Oryzias latipes: one gene and its partners. The protein of the gene in region 1 purifies or fractionates together with the protein of each later gene. This does not show direct contact. Links are inferred from orthologs where the notes say so. Each region holds a gene or a part of one and is shown in the gene's direction. Other genes may lie near its edges.

Evidence for each region.
Region 2: the proteins of polr2d (region 1) and rpap2 purify together in Homo sapiens (affinity purification with mass spectrometry; 5 studies listed by BioGRID and IntAct, counting the BioPlex papers as one, with this or other methods). This does not show direct contact. The link is inferred for Oryzias latipes from reciprocal best matches to the Homo sapiens genes POLR2D and RPAP2.
Region 3: the proteins of polr2d (region 1) and polr2m purify together in Homo sapiens (affinity purification with mass spectrometry; 3 studies listed by BioGRID and IntAct, counting the BioPlex papers as one, with this or other methods). This does not show direct contact. The link is inferred for Oryzias latipes from reciprocal best matches to the Homo sapiens genes POLR2D and POLR2M.
Region 4: the proteins of polr2d (region 1) and mediator of RNA polymerase II transcription subunit 26 purify together in Homo sapiens (affinity purification with mass spectrometry; 3 studies listed by BioGRID and IntAct, with this or other methods). This does not show direct contact. The link is inferred for Oryzias latipes from reciprocal best matches to the Homo sapiens genes POLR2D and MED26.
Region 5: the proteins of polr2d (region 1) and rprd1b purify together in Homo sapiens (affinity purification with mass spectrometry; 3 studies listed by BioGRID and IntAct, counting the BioPlex papers as one, with this or other methods). This does not show direct contact. The link is inferred for Oryzias latipes from reciprocal best matches to the Homo sapiens genes POLR2D and RPRD1B.

Annotation. Positions count from the first base shown.
Region 1 is NC_019878.2:10,413,768-10,420,167, reverse strand, and holds polr2d (DNA-directed RNA polymerase II subunit RPB4), read left to right. Parts: upstream 1-2,844; 5' UTR 2,845-2,980; coding exon 2,981-3,059; intron 3,060-3,592; coding exon 3,593-3,773; intron 3,774-3,844; coding exon 3,845-3,940; intron 3,941-4,853; coding exon 4,854-4,932; 3' UTR 4,933-5,437; downstream 5,438-6,400. UniProt on the Homo sapiens protein: Core component of RNA polymerase II (Pol II), a DNA-dependent RNA polymerase which synthesizes mRNA precursors and many functional non-coding RNAs using the four ribonucleoside triphosphates as substrates.
Region 2 is NC_019875.2:5,937,845-5,943,252, forward strand, and holds part of rpap2 (putative RNA polymerase II subunit B1 CTD phosphatase RPAP2), read left to right. Parts: coding exon 1-20; intron 21-103; coding exon 104-169; intron 170-256; coding exon 257-345; intron 346-422; coding exon 423-458; intron 459-531; coding exon 532-1,375; intron 1,376-1,474; coding exon 1,475-1,566; intron 1,567-1,760; coding exon 1,761-1,841; intron 1,842-4,757; coding exon 4,758-4,826; intron 4,827-5,028; coding exon of another isoform or gene 5,029-5,137; exon of another isoform or gene 5,138-5,408.
Region 3 is NC_019861.2:21,377,572-21,383,868, reverse strand, and holds polr2m (protein GRINL1A), read left to right. Parts: upstream 1-2,033; 5' UTR 2,034-2,144; intron 2,145-2,229; 5' UTR 2,230-2,276; coding exon 2,277-2,383; intron 2,384-3,115; coding exon 3,116-3,649; intron 3,650-3,764; coding exon 3,765-3,987; intron 3,988-4,618; coding exon 4,619-4,762; 3' UTR 4,763-5,137; downstream 5,138-6,297.
Region 4 is NC_019875.2:6,541,766-6,548,236, forward strand, and holds the start of mediator of RNA polymerase II transcription subunit 26, read left to right. Parts: upstream 1-2,121; 5' UTR 2,122-2,407; coding exon 2,408-2,479; intron 2,480-6,471. UniProt on the Homo sapiens protein: Component of the Mediator complex, a coactivator involved in the regulated transcription of nearly all RNA polymerase II-dependent genes.
Region 5 is NC_019865.2:7,638,372-7,644,118, reverse strand, and holds the end of rprd1b (regulation of nuclear pre-mRNA domain-containing protein 1B), read left to right. Parts: intron 1-1,201; coding exon 1,202-1,377; intron 1,378-2,617; coding exon 2,618-2,767; 3' UTR 2,768-3,870; downstream 3,871-5,747. UniProt on the Homo sapiens protein: Interacts with phosphorylated C-terminal heptapeptide repeat domain (CTD) of the largest RNA polymerase II subunit POLR2A, and participates in dephosphorylation of the CTD by RPAP2. Transcriptional regulator which enhances expression of CCND1.

The DNA of each region.
Region 1 (6,400 bases):
TAATAGAAGTGGTTCCGTGGGTTTTTCTAAGGTCTCAGTCTAACCTGAGGCTGCTAAACCACATGTAGCTCTTTTGCCCCCGTTGTCGCTCTCTGGCAGATGGAAAAGAAAATAGAATAAAAAAGGGTTACTTAATTAGCATTGGTTTATTTATTAGACGCGGTTGTGTTTTTTCCACCTGCCTGACATGTTTCGCCGGAGTTCTTCCGTCTTCGTCAGAGTCGTCGGTGGGCCTTTATTGCACTAGCTTTGGTTTACTTTGAATTAGTTTATACTTTTATGGCTGAGGTGCACCTAGAATTAAGATAAAGTATGTGGAGATTTCCACATTCCTGCTGACATGAAGAGGCCTTGTTCGCTCTGTGCGTCCTCCTGAATACACAAATTTCAAATACTGAGCAAATTTTGGTAAAAAGTCTAATCTTTGCTTTATATACTTTTTCTACTGGATCAAGAAAACAATGAATTCATGTTTATGTTCAGGTCAAGAACAGTAGTAAGTAGAAAAAAGATGATGGCTCCCCAAAGTAGACATATGGGAAATAACAAAAGAAAAAGCTGTTTTTGTCTCGCCTTGTTTAAAACCTTTCGTTTTAAGGAAGCCTTTTATTTTAAAAGGAAGTCATACTGCCTACCTTCTGTCAAAAGCAAAAAGCAATTTGACATTGTGAGAAAACATTAGTTGCTCTTCATGCCAGGAAAATAAATGTAAATTCACATCTATAACAAAAATGAATAAATGCAAAGCACTATCAAATTTTCCTACAGGTTAAAATAGGACTTTGTGGCTTTGAGTAGATTTTGATAAGTAATGAACAGGCTCAAATGGCTCTTTTGGTTGCAGACTCCTGTTTTAGGGTAATCTGTATAAAAGGCTTACAGGCTTCTTGACATCATGGGTGGCTGCAGAGAGGGTCCACCAGAAACATAAGAGGAGAAGCTAAAAAAGCTTCAAAGTGGCTCATGAAGAGGAGCCATGACATAACATGCTGCTTAGATAGAAAATGGGGACTGATCACCACTGGTTGGGTCGACTGAGTAAGGGGCCGGGAAGAAGAAATACCCGAAACATCCTTTGAGTTATTCACTGAGGATGCAATTAAATTGCAACTTTTCAAGGTCTTTCAATGTTCTTTCAATATTTGTTGCTGAGGAACAATGACGTTATTAAAACTTATTGAAGTTTTGTACAAATAATTTAGCATTTTACAAACGAGCTTTGTTAGAGTAATAACATAAAGAATGAAACACAAGTGAATTAAATGCAACATTTTTCCAAAGGGCCCACTGAAGAACAACTGTGTCTGGAATTTACAAAGACATATCTTCCATGCCCCCATAGTCCTGAGCAGGACTACGGGGGCATGGAGTCCATTCCAGTTACTTCAGGGCATAAACAACATAACTCTAAGCACTTTACTAGACCATCAGAAGTCTATTCAAACTTCTTAAGGGACAATTTTAGAGTAGAGTACCTAATTTACCAATAAAACATGCTTTGAACCCCTTCAGGAACCTGAAGGTCTTGGAAAAAACAATGGACACACAAAATGTAAAAACCTCACACACATTCCAACCCTACCGTTCTGAAATTTGAATCACCACGCCACCTGGTGGAGTTGCAGGAGATTACAAAAGGTGAGAAAATAATAGTTGCTACAGATTCATTCTCAAGTTTACAGAGTTTCAGAAGTGTTTGCTACCAGTGTAGCTGTGAAAAAAAACGTGTGGCAACTTCAGGTGGAGTATAAAGACTAAAGTAAGACTAAATAAATAAATAAATAAAGTAAGACTAAATAAAGTCTGCATATGACCTTATGACCTGCAAGGAGCAGGTAGAGAAGCATCTAGAGAGGAATAAAGACCAGTCACAGCAAGATAATGTACCTACATGGAAATACAAGAAGCAATTGAAACTGTTGAAAACTAATAATGCGGATAAAGAACATTTTTAGTTATAAAATAAAGGTTTGTATTTTAAAGGTCACATGGTTAAAAAAAATACAAATTTTATATGATATAAATAACACTGACAAACATATCAGTAAGAAATTCAAAAGAGAGGGGAAAAGATGAATAAAGTTAAAATGAATATCAGGGACCAAAAATCTCAGCAGGTCTATGCTATGGCGAGCTCACATGGTCTTTTATTATTGAACACTACAAATGTTAAGTTAGGAACCTGTAAACATAAATGTAAAACAGTTAGAACATTTAGAACAAAAAATGAGATAGATCATCAAATAAAGACACAAGAAAGCAAAACAAAGACAGAGTCAACTAAAAAACACCTAAATATGAAGAGTTTTGATATAATTTAATGCCTTTAAAAAAGTTGAAACATTTTCTTGCTTTTTTACTTTTCATGAATTAAACAAATCTACTTAAGAAACACATTAAACAGTGGTTTGGTTTTTAATAATTTACTTTTATGAATATAAAATTTGCTTTTGATTGTTAAAATATTTTAAACTAAATTTAACAGACTGTTATGTGAAATTACACCAAAAAGAATGTTGTTCTTTTTTAATGAGACTTGAACAGAGGAATTTGAACACCACAAATGAAACTCATCCCCAAAAAGATTCAAAGTACATGCAATCAACAAGCAATTTCAACACAAAAATACAATTGTTTTCTTTAAATCTTTAACTTTAACATTTATTTACAAGGAAATAAATTATTTATTACAAGGGCATATATGACTGAACAGTTCTATCGTTGTGTTTGAGGGGAGTTCCTACACTTCATCTTCCAGGACAGTAGGTAGCAGAAGCGCACCATTATTGCTAGATGACACCCGCCTAAACCAGAAGAAAGCAGAGGAAGAATATCACCGGAAGTAGATCGGTGTTGTGACCGGAAGTTCCCCGAGCGCCGTTGTTCTCTGCACAGTTAACGTTCTCACCGTAGTCTCCGAGAGAAGCTGACGGAGCTCATCGGTACTGCGCGCCTCTGCGACCCGTGACTGTGACTCGACATGACTGCCGCTGGAAGCTCGGTTTCCTCGCACGTGGGAGACGTCGAAGAAGACGCGTCACAGTTGCTGTTTCCCAAAGGTGGCGCGCACAAATACTGTTTACTTCCGAAACTTTTTGTTAGGTTACAGTGTAACCTGTATTGGAAACAATTACGTTGCTATATGTGACCGATGAGGATAATCATCCCCTGATTATTAATTTATGTAAGCTGCATCACCGATTTGAATCTGAATATTTTCATTATACGACCATCATCATCTGTACTGGTTAAATGTTTCTCTCACTGACACACATGTATTGTGATCATCATGATGTTTGGTCCACTGATCAAGATAGAATTATTTGTTTGTTTGCTGAGAGTAAACTATAAGTTTAAATTTACATGGATTGCTGTCCTGGAAGGTCTGAGACTCAACAAGCTTCCTAAAATAGTACAGGCTGACTTTGATCAGCAGGATTTTTGTCCTACTTCTTGAAACAGGCCTTAAATTCCAGTCCACAATCACTGCAGGAATCCTTCTGTCTTTCAATCAAAATGGTTCTGGAGCTGATATTCTGTAGAATCTGAGCTCAAATTCAGTGACTAACCAGCCCCCTCCTGCTGTCTGCAGAGTTTGAGAACTCTGAGACGCTGCTGAACTCGGAGGTCCACATGCTGCTGGAGCACAGGAAGCAGCAGAACGAGAGCGCCGAGGACGAACAGGAGTTGTCCGAGGTCTTCATGAAGACTCTCAACTACACGGCCCGCTTCAGCCGCTTCAAGAACCGCGAGACCATCACTGCCGTGCGCAGGTAAGGATGCCCCTTCTGGTCCCAGGTCCTGGCCCTGATCTGGGTCCTAATGGCCTTTCTGTCTGTCTCAGTCTCCTCCTGCAGAAGAAGCTCCATAAATTTGAGCTGGCCAGTTTGGCGAATCTGTGTCCTGAAGCTGCAGAGGAGGCTAAAGCTCTGACCCCCAGGTGAGTCTGGACTGAACCGGACTTGTTCTTTTCACCCATAAATTACAGGGTCTTCGTTAACCAATCTGTGAAAAGATTCACCTGACATCAGATTATTCTGAACACCTTAGTGATTTTAGGATTTTTGGGAGGCTTGACTTTTTATTTTATTTTAACACTTTCAGTAAATTGAGTAAAAGTATAAGTTAGTCTGGATGCCAAGGAGATTTATTTAGTAATGTCGAAGTAACACTATTTTACATTAAGGGCAGACGTGTGCAGCTTTAATTGAATTAATTCAAAGAGAAAACCTGAGAGATTATCCTAAACTGGATCAGAAAACATTTTGGATCAATTCATCACAGACATGTAGTTTTATGCTGTTCTTACTTGTCAGGAATTGGTTTCTTGTTGAAATTATTATGCATTAAAAAATAGCAGATAAGTTATTTTAGATTGTTTAGTGATCATTATTTTTGTGAAAATATACAGTGGTGGACAAAATTGTTGGTACCCATCAGTTATAGAAACAAATTCCAGAATTCTCACTAAAATGACTTGAAATGTTCAAAAGTAACAATAAATTAAAATTTAATGAAAATGAAATAATCAAAATCAGCTTTTTAATTTGTTGATTGACAGAATTATTTAAAAAAAAAAAAAAGCTAATGAAATAGGGTTGGCCAAAAATGATGGTACCTCCATAACAGACTGAGAACTAATTGCCCAGGGGGTCATGATGAACTCAGGTATGTCCTTAAATTGACATCATAGCTGTCTTCAAACTCATAATCAGTCAGTCTGTCAACAATTTTGTCCACCACTGTATCTTACTGAGATATGGATCGTTTTGCAGGTGATGTTGTTACAATTCTTATCAAATAATTCATCGTTGAGAGAATAAAGTTCTGCCGGGTTCTGCTTCTTTTCTCAGTCTGGAGGGTCGCTTTGAGGATGAAGAGCTGCAACAGATCCTGGATGACATTCAGACCAAGAGGAGCTTCCAGTACTAAGACCAGGACCAGCAGCTGGACCTGAGACCTCCAGAACTCTCCTTAACAGAGGCAGCGTGGTTCACGTTCCACCGGGACCAGAAAAATCACAGAACATTTAATCCACCCACCACCCAGCAGAATCTTGATGTACTTTAAAGGCACACAAGATGCTGTTTGTGTGTCTGATTCTATCCGGTCTGTGGAAAATCCAGCACATGTTGATAAGAAAACTGTATCTGTGCTCTGCTCCTTCGGGTACCTATGGGCAGAAACTCAAATCCATCATCAGTGAGCTTATCCCGAACACCGCCCACTCGTACTGCCAGCTCAGACCTGCAAGACCACCTTCGAGTCAGAGTCCACGCAAAATTGATTCCCAACAGAACCTTCTTGTCCCAGGAGAACCCCTTTTAGTGCTTTTGTGTGGTTGTCTGTCCAAACCGCTTATTAGGAGCGGAACAGGGAACTGGATTTATTGTGTTGATTGAAAATAAAAATTTAAAAAAACTACACCAAGGAACAACCAAGCAAAGTTTGTAAAGCTCTTTTAACAAAAAGAATCACAAAGTGAGAAGGAGAGCCGGTGGACCATAGGGACAGAGGCAGGGAGGGATCTCATCAAATCTTCCAATCTTTATTACAGCTAAAGGGTAGGTAGGTGGTGAAACAGGAAAAGATGCAGCAAATGAATCACAGGTGCTGTCATTCCCTTCTCCACCAAGGATTCCTAGATGGATTGCTGTCCATTAAAAAAAAAAAGTTATATACACAATATAAATTAAAAAATGTAAAGACGTGATATAGCATCAGTATTAGCATTGGCCCCAGGGACACAGCAGGGAGAGAATTGGGGGGTACATTTTAAACTGTTCTTCTGAACACTCACTACGGTCCATGACTCATCTAAGTGGGGTTCGAACCAACATTTTCAGAGGAATAAGACTTGAATGCCATCAGTAACTGAAGCTTTACCATTGGAACAATAAAGTTAAATTTGAAATAAAAAAACGGCCAGCATTGGGTAAGACTAACTACAACATTGTTTCCTCTTGTTTGAAGAAGTAATTTCAAAAATGCGTTTTTAATTATTTATATTTACATTACAAAATAAAATTCCAACGTTTAAGTTATGTCCTATTTGCCAGCTGTCGAGCTAATGCTGTTTTCACAGTGTTCACTAAAGTCTTATTTTGGTAATGTTTGGCTCATCGATGAAGGAGAGATTTTTGATGTTTACTGACTACTGACTTCTAAAAGATCGCGATGCACAAGCGTGATGCCTAAAAAGACATTTGTCAGAAGTGGGATTCGAACCCACGCCTCCAGAGGAGACTGCGACCTGAACGCAGCGCCTTAGACCGCTCGGCCATCCTGACATCTTGTTTACGCACCAACATTTCTGTATAAAGAACATCTCCAAAAAAATCTAGGGTCGGAGGAAGTTACTTATTAGAGCCTCTAGACCAGGTGTCTCAAACTCGCGGCC
Region 2 (5,408 bases), on another chromosome or scaffold:
GTCCAAAGCAGCTGGGCAAAGTAAGACGTCGCCCCTCCACTGAGGGTAATGCTGACGCTCCTGTCTGGGTTTCCTCGTCTAACCGCTGCTGCCTGCTTTGCAGATCCCGTCTCAGCAGTTCAAAATCTCTACCAAGACGAACAGAGTTTATGACATCACAGAGCGCAAGGTGAGTTTCTTCCCAGAAGAAGAACGAACTTTGTCAGTGCAGTCGCAGTTTGAAGACAGAAGAGGTGACCTCATTTGTCATCTTTAGCGTTTCTGCAGTAATTTCTGCTACAAGGCCTCCAAAGAGTTTGAGCTGCAGATCCCAAAGACGCCTCTGTGGCTCAGGAAGTTGGAGAGGTCTGTGAACTGCTCCGCCTTTGTAAGACTCGACGTTCGGGTGGAGTGTCTTTGTAAAAATTCTCTCTTGCCAACAGTCCCCCGAAGATCAGGCTGCTGACGGCAGGACAGAGGTGTGTGCTCGGCGCCCGCGGCCGCACGTCCCTCTGCAGGAGTGAGCGTAACGTGTTGCATGTGTGTGTCCAGTGGGAGCTCCGGAGAGGAGGTGCTGCTGTCAGATCAGCGCCTCAAAGAGGAAGACGTTGAGAAACCACAAGCTGCCGCCCCCGCTGAGCCATGCGGGGATCATCAAAGCTCGGCTGGAGATGAGAGCAGCGGTGGGGAGCAGGACTTTGTCTCCAGTGTGGCCTTCCAGCAGCAGAAACCCCGGGTTCACTGGGCTGACCGCACGGGTGAAAGCAAGAACGGGAGCCAAGGAGAGGAGGGGACGGACGGGACTGAATGTCTGAGTCGCCTTCCACAGGAGGACACGAGGGGGCCGCATCCTGAACCCCCACAGCTGCTCGGTCCCATCACAAGCAAGGCTGAGCCACAGGACTCACCTGAGCGCCCCCAACTGGAAGAGGTAACAGCTCAGATGAGGGAGTGCACTCTTCATGAGACAGCAGCAGCCCCCCTGCCGGGCCTCCACATCACCCAGGTGGGCATGAGCAGGCGAGGAGCTGCAGGGCTGCGGGCTCTGCTGGGGAGGCAGAGCTGCACGGGAGCCAAACGGGAGCCAGCGAGCCTCCTGGAGACCCTGAGGAGGACTCTGAAAGCCTGGTGCACCGATCACACCATCAGGTTCCTGCACGGAGCCGCCTGCTCACCTGCCCCCCGTCATCATAACAGAAAGGAAGAGGGGGAGTTGGATGAAGATGATGATGCAGATGACGTGATATTGACGGACGATAGCGGGGAGAAGAAGCTGTGGGGGACAGAAGGAGACTATGAGACGCTGCAGAGGCTGACCCAACAGATGGAGCTGAGAGTCAAGGAGTTCTACAAGGGGACCTGGGTTATTCCTGTGGAGGAGCCGAGTGCTAACCAGGTGAGGGGGGGGGGTCCCTGTGGACCTCCCATCAGACCTCTGTTCAGTCAAATAAAATGCTGAGAGCAAGTTGAAATAGTCCTGGTTTGTTCTTCACAGCAGAACCTGAAGGAACCGGTCCTGCCGCTCGTGGACTCCCAGGCTCAGCATCTGATCCAGAAACGCATCACCGTGGAGAAGCTCAGCAGCTGGTGCGTGCAGATGTGTCAGACATGAACGTCTTCATCTAAACCTCTGCCTCCCCCAAACATCTTCTGTTTCACAGGAGTCCAGACTCCTGTGACGTTTGATCATATTATATTTATTATAGAAGTCCGGACATTTGTCCAGCCGCCTGCCTGCCTGCTGCTTTGCTCCATAACCAATCTGCTCCTGTCATCTGCAGCCTCAGGACCATCGTAGGCCCGCTGCACCTCACCCTGAGTGATGTCTCCACAGACCTGAACGACTTGGTGAAGACATTCAGGTGGGTGACCTGCACATATGCACCGTTCTCGTCCATTCCAGATCATCCTGCGCGCTGCAGCCTTCCATTCCTGCTCCCCATCATCATGAGACTTGAGGAGGCCCGAGTCCTGCATGAACGTCCCACAGAGCAGCACCGACCCTACTCATTATCCTCAAAGAATAAGAGAAAGCCCAGGAGAGCGTCGTGGTTTCCATGTGGTTGGCTCAGACATATCAGTTAGAGACCTCCAGGGGGGGCTGAAGAACCACAGGTTGACGGGAGCCCCCCAAACCTTTACACCAGGGGTGTCAAACATACGGCCCGCGGGCCATATTCGGCCCGCCAGGTGGTTTAGTCTGGCCCACATGATGAGCAAAAATCTTAAGCATGTTTAAAAAAGAAAGCACGTGTCTAGTCCATTCCTGTGGCGAGTTATGATTTTTTTAAAGAAATAACCGAAATGCGCAATTCTGCCATTAGGGGGGGGGAGGAAAAGCAAAACAGGTGAAACATATGTTTGCGCATGCCAAAGGTGAAACCTAACAGTTCTTCTTCTGGGTAAGATGCAGTTTGTTTCCCTGCGAGCCTCAAAGCTGTTGTGTTGCTATAAGAATGAACAGTAGTGACACAATAATGACCAAAATGTTGTCCAAAAGAAGTGGATTGCTGAGCTTTCCAGGAAAAATGGACAGTTTTCTTTTTAGGCAGGGTGTTTCACTTTTTTTGCGTAGCCCCTCTTGAGGTTATTATCGGGATTGCTTCAGTGTCAGATGTAAAATATTAAGTCAGTACAAAACTGAATAGACCTTTTTCTTTTAAGAGAAATTCATTTTATTTGAGATCCATTGGCCTCTGTGAATGAATGTGTAATAATAAGTGATTAGGTTGGTGATGTTGGTAAACTGAGTAAAAAATCAAATACAAAGCTGTTATTTTGTTTTTATGCTAGTGGTCCGGCCCACTTGAGATCAGACGGCTTGAATGCGGCCCCCGAACCAAAATGAGTTTGACACCCCTGCTTTACACGATGACTTTTTCTGGAAACAGATGAGTTAGTCTCTTTTGGTTCAGAGAGATGAACGGACAAATGTCAAGCCCCTCCTCCTCATGTTTAGGGGCAGAATAGAAGTTTAGAAACTCACCTGCTAGAATTGGACACAAAACCAGTCTGTTAGCTGCTCTGGGGGGGCTCAAAGTCTGGAAAACTTTAAGAGGTTTTCCAGACTTTGAGCCTTTGTGTTCTCAGAGAGGATCTTCAGATGGAACCCCGAGATGTTTTTTTATTATCATCCCCTTTCCTTCAGTTTGTCTTTCTTCTGCGCAGACATCTGCATGTATGTTGTGAGGAGCCTGTGATGGACTTTAGTGCAGAAGGTCAGTCAGTGATCGTTCAGAGCTCTGACCTGCTGTTTCTGACCCCAGAGGAGAGCGAGCAGGCTGTGGTTAAACCAGCGAAGGCCGAGCACGTCCACAGACAAGTGCCGCTGCATTGAAGTTTTTGAGAATCCCATCAGCGATGGAGAAGAATCTTAATGATGACATAGTCCTGTGTTGTGTGAGCAGACGGTCTTTGTTGGGTCTCTGAAGAACATTTCTCCCAGAGGAAGCAGCAGACCTGCTGGGTTTGAGACTCACAGACTGGATCTTCACATCGTCTGACCTTTGTTGTCCCAATAGAACATAAAGCTGCTGTAAACAGGAGGCTGTGGTTGAACAAGGTGAGGTAACAACAGCGGGTCCGTCATTTCACCGTCACAGGACCGTTAGAGGGGGCCAGAATTCCCCCTTTAGAGATGGACAGAGCTTAAACTAATGACTGACAGCAAACTGGGAAAAAACAGGAAAAAATAAATAATAATTGTATTTTATTGGTTTTGATTTTTTGTTTTTGCTCACTCTGCATTTCACTCTGTTGTCCCTGCTCTTCCTGCACATCACTCTGCTGTTTCTGCTGTTCCTGCTGTTCACTCTGCTGTTCCTCCTGTTCACTGCTGTTTCTGCTGTTCAATCAGCTGTTCCGGCTGTTCACTCTTCTGCTCCTGCTGTTCACTCTGCTGTTCCTGCTGTTCACTCTGCTGTTCTTGCATTTCACTCTTCTGCTCCTGCTGTTCACTCTGCTGTTCCTGCTGTTCACTCTGCTGTTCTTGCATTTCACTCTTCTGCTCCTGCTGTTCACTCTGTTGTCCCTGCTCTTCCTGCACATCACTCTGCTGTTCCTTTTGTTCACTCTGCTGTTCCTGCTGTTCACTCTGCTGTTTCTGCTGTTCAATCAGCTGTTCCGGCATTTCACTCTTCTGCTCCTGCTGTTCACTCTGCTGTTCCTGCTGTTCACTCTGCTGTTCCTCCTGTTCACTGCTGTTTCTGCTGTTCAATCAGCTGTTCCGGCATTTCACTCTTCTGCTCCTGCTGTTCACTCTGCTGTTCTTGCATTTCACTCTTCTGCTCCTGCTGTTCACTCTGCTGTTCCTGCTGTTCACTCTGCTGTTCTTGCATTTCACTCTTCTGCTCCTGCTGTTCACTCTGCTGTTCCTGCTGTTCACTCTGCTGTTCTTGCATTTCACTCTTCTGCTCCTGCTGTTCACTCTGTTGTCCCTGCTCTTCCTGCACATCACTCTGCTGTTCCTTTTGTTCACTCTGCTGTTTCTGCTGTTCCTGCTGTTCACTCTGCTGTTTCTGCTGTTCAATCAGCTGTTCCGGCATTTCACTCTTCTGCTCCTGCTGTTCACTCTGCTGTTCCTGCTGTTCACTCTGCTGTTCTTGCATTTCACTCTTCTGCTCCTGCTGATCACTGTGTTGTTCCTGCTCTTCCTGCGCATCACTATGCTGTAGCTACTGTTCACTCTGCTGTTCCTGCTTTTCCTGCACTTCACTCTCTTGCTGTTGTGTGTGTTGATGCGTTGCTGCTGAGCTTATCCCTGTGTTTTTTATTGACAGGTTCACCAACACCAACATCGTTCACAAAAGCCCGGAGTGGACCCTGATAGCAGTGGTGCTGCTGCATGTGTAAGTCTGAGGTCTCGCCTGTGTTGGAAGCAGAAATCCAAAGCGTTCCGGGCTGCTGAATCCTGTTTTTGCCGACACTGATCATTGTTTTGCACTCGCCATATGGTGTGTGTTCACGTGTTACTGGCAGTTCATGAACAGTTCCGTGCTGCTCCCGTCTGAGTACACACATCCTTATCTCGGCCTGATTGCTCCTCTGCAGATCCGTGATGCCTGGAGGAGGACACACACCCGGTTTTAACACACACACTTGGCAAACGGAGGGCTTTGAATTTCCCCAGCTGGGAAATCTTCACCTGATGCTCGACTGAAGAACATTTATGGCTCCTCTTCAGTTTGCTTAGTTAGTATTTATTTTAAAGGAACACAGGAATGCTGCTGCTGAAGAAGCTTGAGGATCACATTCCAAACTATTCTACAAAGAAAACTTTTCCAAGATTTTATAAATAGTCAAAGCAAATAACAGTCAGCATAAAAACATTAACTGTTAGTGTAAATAAAACGTTAGCAGGCATTTCTCCCAATAATAGTGTGTTTTTAATAAAAATTTTAAAATGCACTGTTCCAAATTATTACGCACAA
Region 3 (6,297 bases), on another chromosome or scaffold:
TAAATAATGAAAAGATTCTTATTTTAAAATTTTTAATGAAAGATTAAAAACACAAGGAAGAAAAAAAGATTAAATTGATTTGATGAATTACTGTAACATAGCTTTTTCTTTGTGAAGATAAATTCAAATTATTTTGTAAATACCCTCTTGTAGTGCTTCAATAAATATGTCCATGGAATGTACATGCAAACTTGCATGGAACCTCCACCTTAAAAGAGAATCAGGAGCTTTAACTGACCACTAAAGAGGGAATAGCAGATCAAAGCAAACAACTCATAAAATGATGTATGTTATGCTAAAGGCTATCCTTATAGAATCATTTTCTACCCATGCAAAACTGATTTAAGGACTTTGCACTGTCAGGGACACAGCTGGAACTTGAAGTGAAAGTCATTGTCTGCTGAGTTGGGTGGAAATGGTTTGACGCTTTGGCTGGAAACCTTCCAAAGGGGAAATGCAGCTGTGGAAAACAGAAGAATGCAATACTGGAAAATGTTACACCGACAACACCGGTTAAGAAAGAAAAGATCAACAAAAAGCCTAGGATCTACAAAAGGGATGTTTTTTTGCCCTGTTTTAAGCATTTTGTTTAAGGAATCTGATGGGATGGTCTGATCTGCAAAAGAAACAAGAAATCTACAGAATATTGAACTATAACAAAGAACTAAGATCTCGTGAGCAAAAAATGTCATATTTAAAAAATAAAAAAGACATGGTATTGTATTGCTATGCATTGTTTTCACTAAGCAAATAAGAAAAGATGAATACAAAGTGCTGTTTATTTCTTGGGATAGAATGATTTATTGATAATATATTTATAGTTTAATTCATTTCTGCCAAACAGGTACAAGAGATTAATTGTCTTTTTTTTTTTGAGGGAAACAGAGCCTTCAGCTTTCAGGCTCATCTTTTGTGGCACCAACTCCCCAGTTCAATTCTGGAGGCAGACACCATCTTTATCTTCAATGCAACTAAAGCCTTCCTCTGATAAAGGAAAAAGTTCTCTTTGACCTGGATGACCTTAACCCTTGTGCTATCATAGGCACTTTGACATTGGGAGTGGGGTCATCTGGACCCCACAAGACAGTGCGCTGAACGTTTTTTCTTAAATGATTTGTAATCTTCACTGGTGTCCAAGGATAACATGAAATCCTCTTCGCCTTTATCTACCTTTGTCCTGGTAGGGATAACACGTCAATGCTAGGGTGGGGTCATTTGGACCCCATAAGATAGCACAAGGGCCTCACTTTATACTTTTCTTATTTCTGCTTTGTTTTTTTTTAAGAATGCATTTAATACATTTACAGTTCCTAACTGGAATGTCTTTGTCATGTGGTTGCAGTGTTTGCCCCTGTGTTGTCTACATGTCTTCCTGTCCTCTAATCCAAACCACTAAGTGTAAACGGTCGCTCTCATTTGTTCCACTTAAATTGTTACATTTTCACTTCACAATTGTCTGTTTGCGTCCTCATAAAGGATTGCGACACATACTCTTTGATGTAATCTGTTGGTCACTTATTGAAAAAAAAAAACTAGAGTTAGCCAATTTGACCCGAATGAAATATTATGGATTAAATTGGATTATAAAACCATTTTAAATAATGTAGTTGGAGAAAAAAATAAATAAATTATTTTGTGGGCACCACTGGTGCTGTGACGTGCTTCATGCAATCAATGACGAGTCATGGTATTTGTCACAGTAATCTGAGTAAAAGATAACTTCAATAAAATGGTTAAGTAAGACATATGGTTACTATTTCCTCTAAAACACTTAAAATGATATGTGATTGAATCTTTTGTCATTTTCCCACAAAACTGGAGATTGTAATTACTTGATTCATTGTTTCTTGCTCTCCTAGATTTTTCACCTTGCGATAATATCGGTTGGAAATTTAGTTTTTTTGTACAACTGAAATTGAATTTACTGTATTGGGAAATTCTCCTCATGATCGTTTTTGGTAGTCGTGACCACCTTTGGCCAGCAGAGGGCAGCAAATTACATGTGTTATTCCAACGGCCAACGAGCTGCAGTACAGTGATCTGTACAGTAGAGGGAGAAAGAGCGTCACAGCAGACGTTGAATTTCCGCAGAAGAAGAAGAAGGTCCCACTTTGAAATGTTGTCATGAGTGGAACTCAAAGAAGGTTTCACGTAGAGCGGATTGTTTTATTAGTAAATTGTTTCTAGTGTTTTTGTCGTATAGTTTTAAAGTCAAATTTTAATCTACAGTTCGTTGTGTGGGAATGGCTGCAGTTGGAAGCGGGTAGCCATCAGTAATGTCGTGGACCGATCAGCGTCAGGGGAAGGTTGGAGACCTGAGGAACCAGAGCAGAGAAGAACTGCAGGAGCTGCTGCTGCGACAGGAAAAAATCCTCTCCAATAAGTGAGTCTGGCCTTTTATTAGACGACAAAAGAGACATTTTCCTGTAGTTTTTTTTTATTTGTTTAATGACCATAGTATATTAGCAGTTAAAAATAGTTACAACACATTCGGTTCCATCATGTTAACGTTATACCAACTGTTAAGAAATTAAAAGTAAAACCTGCACATTTTAAAATGCCCACTTTGGGCTTTAACCGAATGTTTTATATTCCAGATGCTACATGTTCGTTTATATTGTTTATTCTTAGTCATCTTTTAACTTTTAATAACAAAAAGTTACTCCCAAAGACAAATGTTTTGCTCGAAAAATGTCCCTTTTCAACAGTGAATGTAATCATAGCAAGAGGATTATGTTAGAGTCCCCCTCTGATCATCTGGATCCAGTCTCCTACAAGTGGATGCATCATGGCGTGGAGGAGGAGGGGGCTTGTGGCCTGCCGACTGTAGCTTCTACATCACAACAAGATTTTTTTCATGTATATGTCCTCTATCCTGAGAAAAATGCCACAAGAACACGTTAAAAACCGAATTTTCATTGCAGTGGGCCTCGAGGTTGCATCAAAATAGCTAGGAATGTATCATAAACCATATCAACTGATGCTTATTGTGTTGTGTATAAATCACAGATTAAGTTGTTGTTTGTTTTAGAAAAAGAGGCAGAGATGTGATAAATGCCATGTGACATAACTGCTCGATGAGTTCTTTACAAGATGATTGTTTGTTGTTTTTTAGGAGGTTATTACAGACTCTTCCAGACAAAGGGAAAAAAATTCAAGATTTTGCAGACAACGTGCGTCTCGCCATTGAACAGCGCATCGAAGAGGAGAGGAGGCGAGATTTACTGTCTGCTACAAGGAGCGATTTACAATCCAAGTACCAGCAAGCTTTCAGTTCGCAACAACGTGGAGTCACCTCATCAGCACCTTCATACCAAAATGAGGAAGGAGAGGACTCACGAGGAACGGAAAGCACACCTGATTTAGCACCAACGAAGAAAGATGCCACTTTAGAAAAACAAATGGACACATCTGCTGCCGAACCCTCTGTTAAATCTGAAGAGATAAAAGAAAGTGAGCTAGTGGAAGCCCTGGACAGGGTCCAGGTATCCGAGTCCAATACTGGAAAGTCCAAAGAAGCCTTTAACAGCAAAGCAACAACCAATTACTTTCTCCAAAAGCAAACACCAAAGAAGCCTCACTATATTGCTGTCCTGAATAGAGGAGAGTCCTCTTTACATGCCATCAGGCAAAAATTCAAACCAAATCAGTAAGTTACTTTATTTCTTTCAAAACTTTGATATATTATTTGCATTTATGTCTGTTTTATTAGGGATAAACATCTGGATTCCTTGAAAATCAAAATGTTTTAACCCTCTTTTCAGGCTGCTCAACAGAAGTGACGTTTCAACGTCAGGATCCTCGTCACCAGGTGAGCCCTCTGGAGATGCATCGCCGCTGTCCGCTCAGGCCAGGAGGGAGCAGGACAAGAAACACCTGGATGATGTCACTGCGGCCAAACTCCCTCCTCTTCATCACAATCCTGCCCAACTCCTGACCCTTGAAGAGTCCGCTGCCTTACTTGTAGAACACACCAGAAAGCAGCAGGTTAGTGTGACTGAAACCTCTCACACACATCAATATGACTCGCCATTTAAAATGGCTGTGAAGTGTTGAGAGGGCTTCATCACTGATGTCTATCATTTTGGGCTTGTTGTGGACCACTCAGAAGATTTTCTAACAATGCACAGTTGCTACTGTGGAGGTTTTCATATATGTGCAGGACTGATGGTAATATAGGTGTCATTATTTGCCCACAGGGGCATTTTCATAAATTCTTTTTTATTATTTTGTTAAAATGGTCTCAAAACAAAATGTTATTATCTGCCATTGCACAAAAGCACACATTGACAAATGTTATGCAGGTTTGAATAAAAAACTGAAAATAAAAGTGAATAAATTGGTTCAAAGTAAAATAAAAATCTTAGTGAAATGTGTTTTTAATGAATCACTGACTACATCATTTGATGTTTGTTTCATTTTGGTTTTTCATAGTTGTCATTTTCCCTTAAGAACTCCAGAGGGCAGTATTCAGACACTGACTTTACATGCAGACCAATACCTGTAAATGCAAGAGTCAAATCATCTTATTATTATTAGTCATATTTCAGTGTTTATTGCTCTCTTTATGCACTTTTTCCTATTGTTTTTTTTCTTCAAATCTTGTGTATGATTGTAGGAGTTGCAGGCCAAGCTGGCAGCCCAGAAACTGTCTGAGGGACTAAAAATGTCGGTGGGGGGCTACAACCCTGACGGCGGCTCCATGGGCGCCTACAGAGAGGTGCACGATGAAGAAGCACAGCTTTCCTCAGAGGAGGACTGATCCTGGAGGACCAGCTGAGGAAACCGTTGGCCCTTTGGCTCAAAGATGCTTTGGACCTCACTATGTGGAGCTCTCATGCATCTTAGCATGAAGGAGATGTGGATAGACTGAGCTTAGCAAACTAAATGTTAAGTTAGGATGATGGATCTGTTTAGCTCAGGTCTTCTCAAGTTCTGTCAAGATAACAGCTTCAGCTGATCCAGAGTCTGTGAGGTTAAATCCTAAATTGGTTTTCTAAGTTGAAGTTTTCTTTTAAAATTAAAAAAATGCACTTCAAGTTGATCAGCAGGTGGAACTGACTTTTTTGGGACATTGTGACTGTTTACAGCTGTACCAGCAGACGTAAGCTGAATAAAAACATCTGACTTTGTGAAAGTTAGAGTTTATATGACAACATTACTGACTGACAACTACATCAAGCAACACTCACCAAACAGCATTTTACAAACCCTTTTTCATTTGTAAACATGAACTCTATAGCACATGTTTGGCTGATTGCAGTAACATTTTGGAGTAAACGGGGTTCATACTTTAAACCTGAAGCACTGCTGCATAAATCACCTTCAGGTTGCAATCGTGTGTCTTAATCCTGCCAATCTTTTTTCGTTACGGAAACTGTAAATTTGACGGAAATATGATAAAGGGAGAAATGGGAAGATTCTGCATTGTGAGTGAGCTCAAAAAGGTTCTTGGTTGGAATCCCAGATGAGTCCTTTCTGTGTGGAGGTGCATGCATTGTTTTTCCTTTTGTCCACCCATGTGGACTTACCTTTGCCTGAAGATAGCTGGGACATGTGTCAGGGCATGTGTGGCAGGTATAGATGATAATCTGATAGATTAAAGATTAGGCCAGAAGCTGTTGGTTTGCATCTGATGTTCTAGTGCTTCAAGTTTGCAAACAGTCTATTTGCTTTGAACGTGCATTAATTATTCACTGCCTTGCACTAGTGACCTGTCCAGGGTGTACCCCACCTTCGACCATTAGTAGCAGGGATAGGCTCCAGCGGCCTCATGACCCTCAGGGGTTTTAGTGGGTTCAGAAAATGGTTAGGATGAGTGTTGCGTACAACAGCAAAAAAAATCATTTTGTTTCATCATTTGTTTAAAAATTAAACTGTCTTAATTTTAACAACGTTTTCTTTTTAACTAATTGCACATTTCTTATACTAGTAAAATTTCAAAGTGTTGCCATTTTCCCATTTCTGAATGAAGAAAATTCCGAAGAGCTGCTCTTGCAAAATGTACCCGTGATTTGGTCTATTCAGGTGAAATAACTATTTTCAGTTGTAAATACAAAATGACCACATAGTCTTATGTAGTTGACTTTTTATCTTCAAGTTTTAGTTTTCTTTAAGTTTAAAATGAAGCTGTAAAGAGGTATGGGAACCACTTTCCAATGAAGCTGTGGTCATCTCTAGGAACTGATCATCTCCGAACCTGTGAGATGTTATCAGACAAGAATCCGTCATATGCTTGGTGAGATTAATGGAGGGTAGTGAGTTATAAAGTCTTGATGGCTCAGACATCTGGACTGC
Region 4 (6,471 bases), on another chromosome or scaffold:
TCCAAGGATATAGTATCCTAGGAGGAGACTGGAATTGTGTCTTGGATCCCTCTTTGGATAGATCATCTGGATTTGACCAAACTCACCAAAGAAGTAGGAATGCTGTACAGAATTTCATGAAGGAATTAAAAATGGCAGATATGTGGCGACACACAAGACCCAAAGATATTGAGTATTCTTGTTATTCTAAAACTTATGGCTCATACTCTCACATAGATTACTTTTTAATTTCAGCAGAGTTACTATCCAATATAAAACAATGTTTTTTGACAGTATAACAATCTCGGACCATGTAGCATTTTGTACTTGCATATTAATCTCAAAATGCATCCACCCAGGTGGTGTCTGCATCGAAAATGGCTTAAGAATGAACATGTTGTTGAATTTGTAGGGAATAAAATAGATTAATATTTTACCATGAACACTACTCAAACTTCAGCCAGTGTAAGATGGTAGGCATTTAAAGCTTTTTTTTAAGAGGGCATATAATTTCCTTTACTTCATCAAAATCAAGAGAATTGCGCAAAAAAGAATACAATTAGAAGATAGAACAACAACAGCTGAGGAGAAAGTGTGTAAAAATAAAGATCAGCAAGCTGAAAAAGAATTAGAAATGCTGGGAGCTGAGTATAATAAGGAATCAACAGATCGTGCAGCCTCAATCAAACTCTCTATGAGCAAGGAGACAAACCTGGAAAGATCTTAGCCTGGCAAATTAAACAAACGGAGGCCCAAAAGAACATAACTTCAATAATTAACAAAAATGGGACAACCCTGTGCACCCAAAGGAAATAAATACTGAATTTAAAAACTTATTCTGCAATCTTTATGCTGAACTTTATGCTCAATTGCTGACATTTTAACAAACAAAAATATCTCTGCTCCTATTAAATTAAACGTGGGTGTCGGCAGGGATGCCCTTTGTCACCTCTGCTGTTCACTCTAGCAATAGAGCCACTTGCCATAGCAGTACGTGCTCATCCAACCATCTCTGGTATTACGATTAATCACGTAGAACATAGATTGTCATTGATATTGTTTTATATTGATATTATTTTACATGTGTACGAATCTGATGTGAGTGGAGTGAGAATGAGAGGAAGACCGCGAATGGGATGGACAGAGGGTGTAAAAAGAGCGCTGAATGCAAGAGGGATGACTGTGGTGCATGGGAGAGAGGCTGCTCAGGACAGGGATGGGTGGAGAGAGTTTGTGTATGAATGAATGGATGGGTGTGGTAGAGGTCTGGTCTTGGGATGAAGCGGCAAGGGGAAACCAGCCTCGGCTGAGGCCCTGCTGTGGAGGTGCCCACACTGGGCTGTGCAGCTGACCCTGGTGCAGTGTGGTGTGGCTTAGACCAGGCCTTAGACCGGTCACATACACACACACGCGCACACACGCACACACTGAAGGAGGAGGGTTTGGGGAAGAGAAGGAGGGCGGTAAGAATGGGTGCCCTGTCAAGGCTACCCCACTTTGGTGGGACACAGCCTAGGTAGATTGGTATAGATTATTTTACATCTCTCCAACTTAGACTCATCTATATCTGCTCGTCTGCAATTAATTGAAGAGTGTGGTTACATATCCAGCTACACCATAAATAAATCTAAATCGTCCATTTTACTGCTGAACGAGAATCAAAGAGAAAGGCCACCAGCAGTAATAATGCATTTTAAATCAGTCCACTCATTTAAATATTTAGGTATAAACATTTTTCCAAACATAGCACTAACAGTTCAAAACAATAATGATTCCATAACAAAAGAAATAAATGACAGTATTAATAGATGAATGCAGCTTCCTACATCACTGATCTAATGTCTACAAAATGAACATTTTACCAAAACTGCTGTATATTTTCCAAAATATGCCCCTGCCACCTCCCGACGGTTGGTTCAAAATTATAAAACAAATGATTCTGTGTTATATATGGAAAAATAAAAAATCTAGGACACAGCTATCGCTCCTTCATCTATGTATATTTACACACACATGTTGGTTAAGTGCAGGACCGATATATATAATTTTTATTTATTTAAGGAACAGGCAACATTTCAGTTATATAAAAAAAACTCTGTGGAGAGAAACTGTCAACTCTGTGTCCTCTGTCGCGTGCCTACGTCATGACGCAGGCATCGTATCCCAGCATGCAACAGGAGGCCAAGAGAGATCCAGCACCTCGGAGTGAGCTGTGGGAGCCCGTTGTCAGACTGGAACAAACGGTCAAACCCGCTCACACATTTCCAGCTCCATGTGAGGAAAGCGAACCTTTTACCTTCCAAGCTCCGGGAAACATGCGGTTCGGGTGCATATCGTGTTCGTGAAGCAGTCAAGAAGTCATCGTTGTCATCCGGTTTTCATTTTGGAGGATTCCTCCCTCCATCATCCGGATCGCATCAAACAGGCAATGACCACGGTATCCACAACCCCGCAGCAGATAAGGGACCGGCTGCTCCAGGCCATCGACAGTCAGAGCAATGTGAGTGCTCCTCCTGCTAACAGGCTACCCGGCCAGTGTTAGCTTGTTTACCTACACGCTCCGTACGTTAACACGTCTGCTTACGCTTGACGTGTTGTGCTACTTTGAAGGAAAACGTTTCTGTCACAGTATAGTTGAAGATGACTTTTCAAAAACCCTGACCAGTAGCGGTTCTAGGCACGGGCCGTCCGGGCGGTGGCCTGGGGCGGAAAACTGAAGGGGGCGGCACCGGCAGCTCAGCCCTTGTAAAATATTATATGCACCACTATTGGTTTTCTTATGTCACAGTTTGTGAGTTTGTAACAGCCTGAACCTGGCCGCGCCGCCGCCCCGCAGCTGCGCTCTCCTGTCTTTGAGAAGTAGACACAAATGTGTGTGAAGAAGGAGAAGGGAAGGGGCGCGGGGTGAGCACGGAGCGCCGCCGCGTTTGCGCATGCGCAAACCCTGGCTGGCTCATCTTTCAGAGGAGGCGACGGTCGCGGGCTTGATAAAAAAAATAAAAGTAATGTAGCGAATCAGCGCCCCTGGCTGTAGCTGCACGCGCTCCTGCTGAAAATGTGTGAAGAAAGGGGGGGGGGGGGGCTGCGGGGAATCAGTTCAATTGTGGGACGCTTCCAAATTAAGAGGCTAGGTGGGGACAAGGGCGGGGGTTTGAATCTACTTTATAAAACCTTTTTATAAGTCAGTCATAAGGTGACATTCTATAACCTACATTTTAATAAAGGTATAAAAAATATATTCTTCTTTTTTGGGTTAATTTTATGTGAAATGCCCAAATGAAAAAATGGCAACACAAAACAATGCTGTCACTAAGGTGACAGTTGGTTCAGTCGACGGACTTGATGCCTTCTTCGTGACGTGAGGACATTTATGCCAAACAATCGCCAAAAACATCTAAAATATGGAGAAGAAAAGGTCAAAGCCATCTGGTGCCCAATTTAGAAAGAAAAGAAAAGAAGAAGAGGAGAAAAGAGATAAAGAAAAGGGGAAGCCCTCAAAGCTTGATGCATGTTTTTTCTAAAACATGCATCAAGCCCGTTCTATCAAGCCCAAATGTTGCAAATAGCGTCATTTTTTATTGATTTTTTAGATTTTATTCTTAAAAATTTGCTCTGCCTTAACTTGTAACATTAGTTATGATTCATGTGTCTGTCTGCTGTGCTGTAACACAACGGTTTTGTTGTGTTTTGCTGTTGTATACTAGTTCATAATGTTAAAAAAGCTGTGATGGTTACACAGCATGCTGCTGCTGCCATAAGATGCTAATGGGGCAAATAATTTGAGATTGGTCATTAATTTAATAATCATTTGTGGCAGCCTAAACGTTTTCACAATGTGTTTTTGACATTTAACTGGGGATTTAGGGGTTAATTTTGAGCCAGCATATGAAGTTTATTTTTTATTTGTTTTACAAATGTTGGGTTATATTTTTAGCCAATAGAATTTCCATAAATCTGTAGGTAGTTTTAAAAATGAATATTTACCATTTACTGCAACTCTATGGGGACAAAACATAATGTAACAGGTCATAACTAAAAATGTGCCAATCAAAGGATTGAAGACGGAAAACATGAGCATGTCGGAAAACATGTTAGTTGACAAAGACATAGTTCTGTTTTGACCATGGGGGGGGGGGGGGGGGGGGGGGGGGGCGCCTGGGGAGGGTCTCGCCCGGGGAGTAATTCAGGGTAGAACCGCCACTGACCCTGACAGAGAGGCGCGTGCCTCTGGAGAATAGATAGAGCTACACGGCGAGCTACACCTCCATTAGCTTAGCCTCGGTTAGTCATGGCAGTCCCTTAGCATGCTAGCTGTTAGCTTAGCCCTGAGATTCACCAACACAACAGTAAAAGTTACCCAGCGACCCCCTAACCCTGTCAGGCCACAGGGGAACTGTTGTCGATTTAGCAAAACTGTCATTTAAAATAGAGGCAGAAAACGAGGCACTCCAGCTTTTTAGAGGTGCTACATTTACCAGTCTAAACAATTCTGTCCCTAAAAGTTTAATATTAACTTGAGTCAGGTCGAGAAATTAAAGGAATTCACTATAATCTTGTCTGGATGATTAAGAGATTTTGGACTGTGAGGCTCAACTTTTAAGTTTACAGCAATTCTTATTCCTCTAAAGAAGAATTTCATGTGTAGTGACCAATTTATGTGTGGCATTGAGATATAGTGAAATTACTAGGATGTGTTTGTGTGCATAAACATGCACAACATGCAACATACTATCCAAAATTTTCATTGTCATGGTTTTTCTTCATTGATTTTTTGGTCATTTTTGTAGCCAAACCCCAATACAGTTGTGTTTAACTAAAAGCTCAGGAAGGTTTGGTACTGTGGTGTGTTTCAGCACCGCTTTATGCTGGCAATCAACAAGTTTCAAGTATTATTGTAACGTAGGTATTACTTTCAGGGCTAACTTATCCTTTAAAAAGCGAAACTTTTCTAAGTAAACGGAAAATGTTTTTTTGTGTAACTCTGTATTCTTTATCATGCAAAAAAATCAACCTTTTTGAGCTTTGAAGTGTATTATAATTTTAATTCTTTACGAAAAACACCTCAAAAGCGGTATTTTGTTCCGTTCACGCATTTCAAAAACCTGCTCTCTGAGTACCAGCTGCTCCCAATCCACCCAATCGAGTGGCTCCTCATATTGTGACGTCAGTAAAAGTGGGAAAAGCCCCTTAAGCACAACACCAGCATCACTCCATGATGCTAAAAAGATGCTGCTAAAAAGGTTAACAGTGGAATCAGGTCTGTTATTACATTTATAAAATACAGCCTTTTAGGAGTACTTTGTCCTCTCTGGGTGGGTGGGGTGCTCCTGCCCCAGGTGGAGGAGGTTAATTTTTCCCGGATCGAGTTCTCTTGTTTTGTTCCTGGATCGAGTCCTGAATCTAGCTTTTGGTCTGTATTCAAACTGGCATCAAGCAGAGTATCCTGTTTGTTAACAAAACCATGTGACTAAAGATCTCTTCTGTCATTGGTCAGGTCCTACAAGGGCGGGGCAAGGAGAAAGACAAACGCGCTGCACTTTACAATCCCTATTGGGACGGTTAACTTATTAAAACTTGTCGATTACCAGGTTTGAACATCAGTAACAAACTTTTTACTTATTGTGGTACGGCGGTTCATGCTGCAGGGCGGATACTGAGGAGACGAGGATGCTAGCAAAGAATTTCTGTAGCATAATCAAAACCAGAAATGCTTTTTAATTTTACAAATTAAGCTGCATTTTTTTGACTCAAAATTCAAATGAAAAATCAATCCACCAAAATGCTTTTTCATTTCTACTTAAAACTGCTTATTCTGTGTCATAATTAAAATGAAAATGCAGAGACGGGATTGCATTTTCATTTTAACATCCACCCTGCGAACATTGTCGCATAATTCAATTCGACTTAGCGTTTCCAGAGGGGAGGCGGGGCGATGACGTCAGTGCTATCTATGTGTGTCCGGATGCTAAGAGACACATGCTAGGAGCAGCTTTGTGTTGGCGACAGGGGAGAGGGCTTTGTGATGTTTGTGCTCTCCTGATGATTGTACACAGCTTCTCAGGACTACATAGCAGCATTTCCACCTTATGTGGTCTGGAGTTTGGGACCACAGCCTCCTTCGGAAAGCCGCTGCCGCACGGTTCGAAGCTTCTCCCTTGGACTTGCTCTTTGGACGGAACTAAACCGGCCCGCTAGCCTGGACACAAAGCTTCGAAGCGCAGGAGGAGGGAATGCTGCTCAAAGACCTGAGAAACTCTCAACCATGGTATGAATTTGTGTTACCAGTGGTGTCCAGAACAAAATAAAGGCTGATGTAATTCCCACATATTTACATCCAAGTTGCTCATTGCTGGATTGGCCGTCTGGAGTTCTGTTCCTCCAGAGCTAATGTTTTTAGCACGCATTAGCCTAATGCTAACGCTTCTTTGGGGTCCTTGCAGCCAAGAAAAAAGCACTGACCGCACGGAGTTAAGAAATTATGAGCGAGCAGGC
Region 5 (5,747 bases), on another chromosome or scaffold:
CAGTGGTTGTAACTGGGAAACAGCCTCTAAAAGGCAACAGGTTTTTTGGTGGGAAAATAACAAAAATACACTATATTACCAAAAGTATTGGCTCACCTGCCTTGACTCAAATATGAACTGAATTGCCATCTCAATCCTAACCCATAGATTTCAATTTGATGTTGGTCCACCTTTTGCAGCTATTACAGTTTCAACTCTTCTGGGAAGGCTGTCCACAAGGTTAAGGAGTGTGTTTGACCATTTTTGACCATTCTTCCAAAAGTGCATTGGTGAGGTCACACACTGATGTTGTTCTATCAGGTTCAGGTCAGGACTCTGTGCAGACCAGTAAAGGTCATCCACAGACTCTGTCATCCATGTCTTTATGGGCCTTGCTTTGTGTACTGGTGCACAGTCATGTTGGAAGAGGAAGGGGCCCGCTCCAAACTGTTCCCACAAGGTTGGGAGCATGGAATTGTCCAAAATGTTTTGGTATCCTGAAGCACTCAGAGTTCCTTTCACCGGAACTAAGGCACCACGCCCAACTCCTGAAAAGCAACCCCACACCATCATTCTGCCTCCACCAAATTTCACACTCAGAACAATGCAGTCCAAAATGTACTGTTCTCCTGGCAACCTCCAAACCCAGACTTGTCCATAAGATTGCCAGATGGAAAAGTGTGATTCATCACTCCAGAGAAGGTGACTCCACTGTTCTAGAGTCCAGTGGCGGCGTGCTTTACACCACTGCATCAGACGCTTTGTATTGCATTTGGTGATGTGTGACTTTTATACACCTGTGGCCAGGCCAAGTGATTAGGACACCTGATTCTGATCATTTGGATGCGCAAGTGAATTCTTTTGGTAATATAGTGTATAGGCTAATATTTTTCTTTTATAAATTCATTCATAAGTCACTCCTGAGGATTAGTGGGAAACTATGAAAAGGAACGCAAAAAATATGGCATATATGAATACACACCATTTCATTTTCAAATATGTAAAACCATTTAAGATTAAATGTGGTGCAATCTATGGACATAACATAAATGCGATTTCTAAATATACATATACTCTAAATATATATATATTTGTAGATCATATTTAATATGCTATTATTTTAAATATAAATGTTTTCTAATACAAAACAACATGTAGAATGATTTAAAATCGTCGGCATCTTTTCAAAAAAATTTTGACCTAATTGTTTACTTTCCTCTAGACAAGGAAGCAGCAGACAAGCTTTCGAAGACGGTGGATGAAGCCTGTCTGCTGCTGGCTGAGTACAATGGTAGGCTGGCTGCAGAGCTGGAGGACCGCAGGCAGCTGGCGCGAATGCTGACGGAATATATCGGCAGCCAGAAGGAGGCGCTCATGGAGAGAGAGAAGAAACTAGAGGTAAACACAGACTTCACAGAAAAATACTCCTTTTGTTAGTCAGTTTTAATATAAAAGTACAAAATATGTATATGTTTTTTTGACCAATTTTTTTAATGTTAGCAAACAGAAATATATACACACTGTGTATTTTTTTTGTTTAAATGGTATAAAGTTAAAAGATGGTATAAATGGTATAAAAAGATAAAAATGATAAAGGATTGGATACATGGATGCACCAAGAATAACAGCTGATAAAATATAATACATTTTTCAATTAGATTACTAGTTAAGAAAACACATTTTTATTAGCTTCTTGTGTGACTTTGACCTTGCTTTATTGTTCCTGCATTTACCAAATGATAAAGACAAAAAAATAAAGTCAGTCATACAATATGTTGAATGAAAACCTTTACAAATAGTTTTACCTTTGTGCACATACTTCTAGATCAGGGGTCTGCAGCCTGAGGCTCCAAAGCCACATGTGGCTCTGTTACCTTCATTTTGTGGCTCTCTGATTAAAGAAAAAGTTATATAGTAGTAAAGTAAAATTATGTATCACTCTGCAAAGCTCCAAACCCCAGAAATCATAATTCTCCAACAATCCATTTAGCAGTTTAACAAAGTTAGCCTAAAACATTTTGGCAGACTTTTGAGCATTGTTTATCACAGAAAATCAACTGGAGGTTGTTAAGTACAAACATAATTCCTACTCAAGTCACTCCAGGTTATAAAGCAGATTTATATTTTTTATTAAATTCAAGGGTTGTAGGTGCGCCTTATGCTTCAGAATATACTGTAAGGGTCACTTATTTACCGGTAGTTATAATTTAATTTTGGTTAGTTACATTTATCAATTTCTGCCTGAGAAGCACCACAAATGCCATAATAAACAGTTTTCTACATGTACATTTGCTGCATTGAGATGATCCTAAGTGGAACAGAGTGCCTTTTATTTTGAAAGGAAGCCATGTGAACCTCTGACAGACATTTTCATATTTTGAATTATGACAATTTTTTTTCTTTATTTTTGTCTTATTTATGCCAAAAACAATAAAAAATATATTTATAGTAATATTAACAATAACGTAAATACTAATCAGAGCCTTATTTTCTTTAAAGTCTGACATTATGGCTCCAATTGGGTTGTGGTTGGTGAGAAGTGTTGCGGGTTGCAGACCCCGTTCTAGATTTTATAACAGAATATTCACAAGTGTAATATTTAACTGATGTTTAAACCGTATTGTGATCTTCTTTGCAGGAATATAAGCAGAAACTAGCGCGGGTGACCCAGGTGAGAAAAGAGCTGAAATCTCACATCCAGAGTCTCCCGGATCTGTCGCTTCTACCTAATGTGACCGGGGGTCTAGCTCCGCTCCCCTCAGCCGGAGACCTCTTCTCCACCGACTGAGGGGCCTTCTGTCCCATTAAACTTCCAGTGTGGCCCTACCTAAGTCAGAACCTTGTTTGACTCCCAGCTGTACTTCCATCCCAAAAGACACGTGTTGGAAGAACAGCTGCTGCCCCCCCCTAGTATCTGGAACCAGCCGTCAGGAGGAAGGGACATTTTATAATAGGTTTTTGTTTAATAAAAAAAAAAAAAGCTCTGACAAGGAGAAATGAGACTCTTTACATCTGGATTCATTAAAAAGGATTCTAACCCACCAGCCTGGAAGATTGTTTCCTGATTGATTTTATTTCTTTTAAATGTAGGTTTTGAGAAAAGGTCTCTTTTGTGATCAAGCCTTTAGTGAACAAAGGAGGGCGTTTTGTTCTTTTGGATGGTTTTAAGTTCTGACTTCATCACAAAGAGGATTACCTGTTAGCGTTGTTTGTGTCCGTTATTTGGTAGCTTTTTCAACACAGTCAGAATGGGCCTTTTTCCCCCTTTCAGCTGTAGAAAAATGTCAAGTTTATTTGCTTTTAGGTTGTTTTAAGAGCTGTTACTCAGTACAATCAGTCACCTAAACACCTGAAGAAACCACATTTATGGATGTTTTTAAGTCAACAGATAAACTGATGTGTTGTGCTCACTTGCAAAAAATGGAAAATTAATTTTTATGATAAGGACAGGTATGCAGATAACTTTTTGGCCTTTGGTGGAGAAGCTTGAAATATCGAGATGATGTTCTTGACTAGAACAATTTGAACCGGTGATTATTTCAGAATGGTGTGCGGTTTTATGAAACAAGTGTTTGAAACTGAAACTCAAGAGTAAAAGACCTGAAAATGACAATTATGATGTTAAACTCAAGGTCAATACTCTTTAGGAGGAAAATATGAAGCACAGCAAAAGTATTACAATTGACTTCTTTAATTACAGCAAATGTTGTTGATAGAAAACAAACCATGTTTGGCTGGAATGTCGTTTTTCCTACAAAAAATTGAAAAGCTTTTCATTTGCATTTAAAGCCATGAAAATTGTGAGTAGCCATTTTTATTTGAATGGATGATTATTGAATCTCAGGTTTCCATGTTTAAGGAAGTAATGCAATTAAAAGTTTAACAGCTGTATTTTTGCCGTGTTATTATTTCTATTTCTTTTCTGTGAAATGTGTTATTGTGAATGAAGCATTGAATTTACTGAAAGCATCATCCCTAAAGTTGCAGATTCCACATCGAATGTTCTTCTCTTCACACTCATTTACGATTAAGTAAAATTTATTTGTTGGATTCAGAAAGGAAAGTTTTTTTAATTTCTTCAATTTTACTCAAAGATTTCCAAAGTAAGTGAACACTTGCAGCATCGATGAAAGTCTTTTTTTTTATAACTGAAATAATAGATACTTTCCCAAAGTAAATGATGCAAATTCTGTTAGGAAAAGATTCAAACATACCATGTCATTAAAGACCCGCAGCATTTGGATGAGCGGGATTCAGTAAGTATTCAGTACCTCAGAAAACCAGGTTGATCATGTTGTGGGGAAAACATTAAATGGTGTCTATACCAAACTCCAAACCATGCTGTGTGGCTGTGCTCTTTATAAAGGACAAATTCCTTTTGAGGTGATTTATTTAAATGAAATCAGTGTACCGGTCATCCTGATGAAACACACATTGGTTTTGGACCAGGTATACTCTTGTAGTGCTTTTTTAAAATATATTTTTAGAATTGCATTATTTTCAATATTATGTAGCAGTTGCACAAAATCTAGCAACAGTTCCCTCAGCGATATTATTAGGAATATGTCATATAAGATCCCTGATTGTCATAATGAGACAAAGCAATAGCCTATTAGCTAATGTCAAATAAATAATTAGAAAAAAAGTGAAAATAGTCTTTTTTTTTGAGTTATGTTCTAGTGTTTTCAGATTTTTAGGTGTTTCTTCTTTTTCTTTCCAGTCATAAACAGTTTTATTTACAATCAGTACAGTGGTTTCTGTTGTTATACCCTTTCAAGCTTTAAGTATGGTCTCTGTTGTTTCTTTGACACTTGTAATCATTTATTTCATATATCTTTGTGATATCTGGGGTTTTCTTGTTTTACTTCCTCAACTATGACTTGAGGTATTAGTTTGAGGTATTAGTCTGCATCGCTTTATAGACTCAGCCAACTAAAAACCAACGTTTGGATTGTTGTACTTTACTGATTTAGTTATTTTTTACATTATTCATTTACATATTATTGTTCATTTACATACTATGATCTCACAAAAGAATGTAAAAATTACACAAAGCACACAACTGTTTATTTGCGCACTGGAAAATAGAAATGCAATTACGTACCCTCTCTGGTTGCTGTGTTGCAAGTTTGCTTTGGTTTTCCCAATATGTTAAAACAGCTACAATCAAATGGAGAAGAACAGAAAAATGTGAAAAGTTTTTATGCAACATTTGTTTTTTTAATTTTATTTAGCTAACAGGATGGGGGGCTGTAATTTTCCAACTTTTTCTGAGCAAAGGTTCACTTTCTCCTTGATAGAAATTCACAAGACACACCACCAACCAAAAATGCAAGATAAATAAATAAAAAAAGCACTCTGTAATCTCTATTAACAATAGAAAGTGACACCTCAACCTTCATCCTGTGTAGTTCTTTTATAGTGCCTGTAATGAGCTTCACCATTTGTGTTAAATCAGTTGCTATAAAAGCACATCTGAGCTTAATCTGCTCTCAGCTCTGTATCATTTTGCTTAAACACCCCCGATTTGTTGTATCAGCTATTGTTAAAGTCTATATACACATTTTCCATGGCTGTAGTTTGCAGTTGCTCACTATTTCTTGCACATATTTTTACATTTTCTGCTTCATTTAAAGTCACGTTCATCTAGTTACAACAATGAAACAACGATTTCTTCCCTCCAAACACTGAATTATTTTTTTTTTAGCAAATTCAGTAAATATGCTAACATAACTTTTTTTGTTGTTTGTGGTATGGAAGCTTTTTCC